Linked DNA regions of Coturnix japonica. The protein of the gene in region 1 purifies or fractionates together with the protein of each later gene. This does not show direct contact. Links are inferred from orthologs where the notes say so. Each region holds a gene or a part of one and is shown on either strand. Other genes may lie near its edges.

What was found.
Region 2: the proteins of SRSF6 (region 1) and LARP7 purify together in Homo sapiens (affinity purification with mass spectrometry; 3 studies listed by BioGRID and IntAct, with this or other methods). This does not show direct contact. The link is inferred for Coturnix japonica from reciprocal best matches to the Homo sapiens genes SRSF6 and LARP7.

The regions. Positions count from the first base shown.
Region 1 is NC_029535.1:35,348-38,255, reverse strand, and holds the end of SRSF6 (serine/arginine-rich splicing factor 6), read left to right. Parts: intron 1-7; coding exon 8-97; intron 98-218; coding exon 219-576; 3' UTR 577-2,250; downstream 2,251-2,908. UniProt on the Homo sapiens protein: Plays a role in constitutive splicing and modulates the selection of alternative splice sites. Plays a role in the alternative splicing of MAPT/Tau exon 10. Binds to alternative exons of TNC pre-mRNA and promotes the expression of alternatively spliced TNC.
Region 2 is NC_029519.1:51,160,361-51,164,185, forward strand, and holds part of LARP7 (la-related protein 7), read right to left. Parts: intron 3,315-3,825; coding exon 3,179-3,314; intron 591-3,178; coding exon 433-590; intron 1-432. UniProt on the Homo sapiens protein: RNA-binding protein that specifically binds distinct small nuclear RNA (snRNAs) and regulates their processing and function.

The DNA.
Region 1 (2,908 bases):
TGTCTAGGTCACGATCTAGAAGACGATCAAGAAGCAGGAGTCGTAGAAGTAGGAGCAGCCGCAGCAGGTCCCGTAGTGTCTCTAAAAGTCGTTCCAGGTAAGTTATCCATTGCTTTCTCCTAGTACAAGAGGGTTGCTACTTATTAATTGCTAACAACTGAAAATGGCTATAAGTACGTTTCAGTTCATGCAGAATAAACTGTCTTTCTCTTTGGAAGATCTAAATCCAGGTCACGAAGCAAAGACCGCTCACGTTCCAGATCTAAAAGCCGGAAGTCTAGATCAAAGAGCAAATCAAAACCCAAGTCTGACAGGGGTTCGCGCTCTCACAGCAGATCTAAGGAGAAGTCAGAGAAGTCTCGGTCCAGGTCCAGGTCTCGATCTCCCAAAGAGAATGGTAAAGGAGATACTAAGTCTAAATCCAGGTCAAGGAGTAGGTCTCGTTCCAATTCTCCACAGCAGCAGCCATCTGCCAAGGCTCGTTCAGAGTCACCACCCAAAAGAGCTGCATCGAGGTCCCGTTCCAGATCTCGTTCAAAGTCTCGTTCACGATCAAGATCTAGTTCAAGAGATTAAGGCTAGAACTCTCCTCTTACCTTGCACACTATTATGGAACATTTTTCCTACTTGTCAGGCCATTAGTGTCATGTTAGTTCTTCAGAAGTTGTTTTTTTCTCTTGCAGGATTGAATGGCCTAAGAACTAATTAATGAGGCATAAAGCTTTAATTTGTATTCTAAATTTGAAAATACAAGATCAGATGGTGTGGTACAAAGCAGGAAAAGTCTCCCTCCCCCCCCCCCCCCCCTTTTTTTTTAATTTTTATTTTTTAGACATTCAGCTAGAACTTTGATTTTATAGCATTTCTGCTGGAGTAACTTAACTGCTCTAAAGTGCAAAGTGGTTTTTATATTACAAATTGAATATAACAGGCTTAAATCTGGGCTTCTTTTCCTCCCTCCCACCCCCCCAAGGTTTTAGAACTATGAGTATCATTGGCGTAGTAGGTTTACAGCTTGCTGCCAAAGGCAAGATCGTCTTGCAGGGCAGATCAGAATTGTCTGGTTTATTTGTGGAAGCCTGCTGCAAAGCTGTAAGCAAGAAACTAAACTAGAAAGGCTAGACCAGCAATAAACTCACGTTGGAGCATTTGTGTTGCATCTGAACTTGCCAAAAGAACATTCCTCCCCAATACTGTGACTGTATTAAAGGTAATAAAGGTACTCTATAACCTGTGTCATGCAGTATTGCTACAAATCATACTTTTGAGACTTAAAAGAATGAAAGCTTAGTGATGTTTTTTTTTGCTTGACTATCAAGTGGCAGTTCTCAGACACTAAAGTGTCTCTTGGATGTAGTTGAAGTCCTCTAGTATGTTGTATGATTTGTCAGCCTTGAAATACCTATTGGATATGAAAACTATCTAAAACAAAACTGTCTTTGCTCTCTTTAGACTCATTTATGTTAACATTCTACTTTAGAACTAAGATCGTATTGTGTTTGAACCTGAACTTTACCGGAAGCGTAATCTCTTCAAGCTAGAGTTCTAGTCTTAATGAAGGCTTTGCTAAACCACAGTTGCCAATTCACTTAAACTGTGAAATAGAACTCATCCTAAAATCTCCCCTTTATAGCTAAATTGATTTTTGTAACATGCAACATTAGAACTGCCTTGTACTCTTTATACAATGTGTAGTTTGACTTGTATAAAATTAAATTGGTGAATCAAACTCCTGTGTTTTGTTGGCTTGCAATGGAATTATTTTTGTCTCCTTGTGCTGAGGAGATCACCGTTTATCTTGTTTAAAGCTTTTCCTTGATTAACTACTATTCTTTATTTAGCACAGAAGTTGGGAGCCTTCAAAATCCAACTTGACCAGTAAGCACATATCCTGGTGAAACCGGAACTGAAATGATTTCATTGTATGTTTTGTGGTGGCAGAAGATTTATTACTATTATCCATGTTGTGTCCATCCCAAGCATGGAAGAGCTGCTCATAATAATTTCTCTTCAATTATGGGTATTTACTGGAGACTTCACCAGAAGCTGGATGGTTCAAAGATACACGACTGGAAAGATCTTATTCCCTTAAAATTACACAAGAGCACTACATGTAATAGGAACAGTTAATGGCAAAAGCATTTGGTGTCACTAAGCTTTTAACCTGATGTTTCAGGGATCTGTGTGTGTGTTAGGCATGCTGACTTTCTGCATTTGATATAATGCAACATAAACTTGTTCTTAAAAGAAGTTGAATGGTAAACACGTGTCATCAGATGTGTCGGAATGATTTAAAATGTTTTGTCTTCCAGCAAATTTTGAAGGAGAAATCAGCATTGCTCCCTGTGAGATGTGAGAATCATGGTGCATGTCTTTGGAGTCTCTTCCTGGGCTTTCCTTGTTTGCTTTTGTTTGTTTTTAAGTTACCTCTACTTAAATGTTGCTGTTTTGGTGCAAATCAGAATCACTAAGGTTCCAAAAGACCCCCAAGGTCTTCTAGTCCAACCATCTGCCTGCCACCACAGCTCCTGTTCGTGTGATGTTAAGTGCCTGTCTTAAAGCAAGATCAGACCTCAGTCTGATGTGTGTGAAACTCTTGACAGACAGTAGGAGAGCTTGTGCTTGTGGGTGAGTCAGAATGCTCTTTAGCTTTGGAAGGGGATTGGAACCTTGTAGAGAAGCTGCTGAACACTCAGTAGTCAGGAATGGCCTTAATTCTATATCAGGTCAGGACTAGCTGAGATTTCTGGATCTGCACAACAGCAAATAATTCACTGCTCAAGTAGGAGCTGTGGCAGCATCTGCAACTATTCCCTCAGAGAGGACTGACTTTGGCTGTTATACCTCAATGGGGATACCCAGTAACACACCATCACTCAGGGCTTCTTGCTGACTTGTAATTTTTATT
Region 2 (3,825 bases), on another chromosome or scaffold:
TCCATTTCAGAAAAATATACTAGTAGATCCAAGAATATGCAGCTTAACTTCTAGCTATAAACCTGATCAAACCCCATTATAAGGCATTTCTGAATGCTTTAGATTAACAGTTTTGTAGCCCTTAGAAGGGATGGTTAAACAACACAGGCCAACATCAAAAAACTCATTCTTGACTTATTTCTCCCTGGCTTTTAAAATTACAATTACCTAAAAAAAAAAATAATCTCGTTTAAGAAGTGGAACTGGACTGTTCTTGCACCACTTTTTGCTTATAAAATTCCTTAGTACTAAACCAATTTAAATGAGAGAAGCTTGGCATTCAAAGAGAACATCAGTATAGGAAAATAAGTTTTCTTTTTCTATATTTCTAGAGGACCAGTGACTTAAGCATTCTTGAACCATATAAAAAGAAAATGAAGAACAAACAGTTACATTTGCCATTTTTAGACTGAAGATTTTTCGGTGCACAGTTATTTGTTTCCATCTCTCCCACAGGCTCAGGTTTGATTTGGGACATTGTTTTCTTTAAGGAGGCCATGCTGGCTTTTTGAAGAGCCAAATATTCTTGCTTCAAATCCATCCATTCAGTCCTGTAAAGGCAAGACAGGTAAACCAGTTGTAAACACAGAAATAAGGTTTAGAAACTCAGACAAATCTGTCTATGATGGCTGAAACTAAACTTGGCAAGTGATGTAGATCTTTCTTATTAGAAGTCCCCACACAGTTTGCTCATTTTCACCTTGGTCAGTACCTGCATTTTTAATTTTGCTTTAGCTTTTAGTATTTCAAGCAAGTTAAAACAAGAATAACCTCACTTGTAGAGTGACTCAAATTCATTACACGTTCAGAAAACAACAGTGGTAAACTCTCTTCTACTGGAACTACAGAGCTCACAGACTCTATATTCAGAGTTAATTCAGAGACAGTGAACTCTGAATTTACCGAATTAGTTCAGTGAAACCACTTTGTGTCACTATATTAAGAATAAGTCATTTACTTTCTAGAAAAATCATTGATCGAAAATCAACAACTGGTTAAACTCTCCAAAAACCCACTGAGATAAGAACATTCCTCACTATTCAAATGCACTCTGCTTAAAAAATACCACCACATGGAAGCAATTTATATATTTACATACATTTAACATGGAGATGTTTCTGCAAACAGCCAGAGCTTTGCTCCACAGAAACACAATGCCTATAGTGCCACTGTGAGAACGACTCATTGTTACCCTAATCTGTACTATCAAACAAGCTGATAGAGGATTTTTAAAGAGGAGGATATCTTGTGGTAATGGTTTTAGCTGTTAACACTGACAACTGTATACTTCAAAAAAAGCATCCAGACTCACCCAGGATCATACATTCTCAACAGAGCAAAGACATTAAAATAACAAAAGACCCACGTAATGATTCGTTGAGATAAAAAGGCAACACCATTCCATGGCGAGGTATGGTATAAATACAAGCACAAGGAGTTGCTTGTCAGCGTGTCTCCAAAGAAGAGGAGACTGTGGGGAATGAGGCAGGCAAGTATTTACAATGCTTATCCTCTTACGGATTTTTTTTTTTTTGCGCTTCGCTTCAATTTAAAACTTATTTCTTTGTCCTCAGGATCCTGGAGGAAGAAGACGAGCACCGTTGGATAACTTTTTTTTTTTGGTGTGGACCCCTTTTACTTTAACATGGAGGTGCTTTCTGTGATTTTACAAAAGTAAGTGCTTCCATGTTTTAGTAGAGGTGAATCCTGTTCTCAATTCCGAAATGCTGTCCACGGCTTCGTTCTTATTTTGGTCAAGAATTTTCTCCCCACAAGACTTGAGCAAAGAGACTTTTGGCCGAAAGCAGCTAAGGACGTAAACCAAGACAGTTTATGGTCTGTAGGTTCAGAAGGATTTTTTAAAGGACTTCCTCCGCTTTAACATGGAGGTACCTGCTGCCTACAAAAGTAAGTGCTTCCATGTTTCAGTGGTGGTGGATCCTAATTTCTTTCTCCTCTTAGAAAAATGACAAGCATTACAACGCAGCGCTGACATGGTTTATTGCAGCGCTGGGTGCATGGAGATCTCCACCTAGCATGCACCCAGCGCTGAAATAACCAATGTCGGCTTTTTAAACTATCATTTACTTGCATGATTTTTAATTGTGTTGTTAAAGTAATTGTTGTAGTTTGTTTTACAGAAAGAAGTGCAGCCTCTCTACTTAAGGTTTCCCACAACTTAAATGTGGACGTGCTTGCTTTGTTCTAAAAAGAAAGTGCTTCCATGTTTTAGTGATGGTGAATCTTTCTTCTCAACTGGAAACTGGAGCAGAAGAACAATTTCTTTATGGATCTTTTTGGTTTCTGTATTATGGGGGAGGGAGTGTGGGGCCTCATAATATTTCTACCACAACATCTCTAGTCAAGATTATTTTGCATCCTGTTTCTGTATTTGCACTGCACACAGTCTTGTATGCAGAGCTAGTAATCGGACAGCAAGGACCCCCTCTACTTTAACATGGAGGTACTTGCTGGACACCTGAAAAAGTAAGTGCTTCCATGTTTTAGTTGTGGTGTCTCCTGAAACCCAACAGATGTAGAATTCTGGCATTCCCACTTCTCAACTACAGGCTAATACTGTTGCTAATATGCAACTCTGTGATATAAAAATTGGAATTGCACTTTAGCAATGGTGATGGACTGTCAGAAATGCACACTTGAATTGCACACTAAGTTCTCATTCCACAAGCATTACCTAAAAACTCTTGCATAAACCTTGTATAAACCCTTGTACAAGCTGCTGTATATACAGATTACTTATATAAAATGTGTGTTGGCATTCAATAAAACGTGAAACTATGCACATTTTTTTTTTTTTTTTTTAAACCTACGCAGAAACTCCTCATGGCAACTGAACGTTTTAAAATTACAGTACTCCCAAACACATTCACTGGGCAAAAAGGCTACTACCACTTCTACATAACTTCCAGGGCCAAGACTCGACCAAATACAGACAGCTAAATAAGTAATATGAGGCATAATTTTAACCTGCAAGTTTCAACACTGGGAAGGGGGGTTTTAAATCCACAGGAAACCCAAGCAGTGAGTAAAACTCACTTCGGCTTGGGCATCTTACACCATCACAAACTGCCTGCTCATAATCAAAAGACACTGGTAGTAAGCCACATATTAAACTTACTTTGAGAGTACTCTGAGTGGAATAACTTCTTCACCCATCTTGTGTCTTTCTTTGTGTTTTTTCTTGTGTTTTCTTTTAGATTTTGAAAAGGATGCGTCTTTTTTATCACCATCTTTATCATCTTCCACAGGAACATCTAAAAATTAAAAACCCAAAAGAAAACTGGTATAGAGGCAAAACAAATGGCTAAAGCAGACAACTGCAGTTTCCCTCCCCCAACATTTTTCTTCACTCAGCAGCCATTAGATAAACAAGTTAGGACTTATTCCCTAGTCCACTTGCCTAGCTTAGATCTATACTGGATTCTTCTTGCACATGCAAATGCCACTGCAATGCAGCTTTGAATCCCATCTCTACTAACATTTTTCCTTATCCTTTTGGAATTTTTAACCTTATCTAGATTATTAATACTATCACCACCATTTGTCTAGCTTTAATCCATACTTTTATCTTCAGTGACTAGTGAACTTCTTTGAACCATTTCTATTTCTGATGAGATTTACCTACTTCAGTGTTATAGATCTTCCCTATCCTCCCTGTAGATTATCTCCTTGAAATGGCTCCTTGCAAGGTTAAATTTCAACAGCAGAAAATCCCAAATATTCATAAACTGACCTTGTTCTGTCTCCACCAATTTCTACCTACTG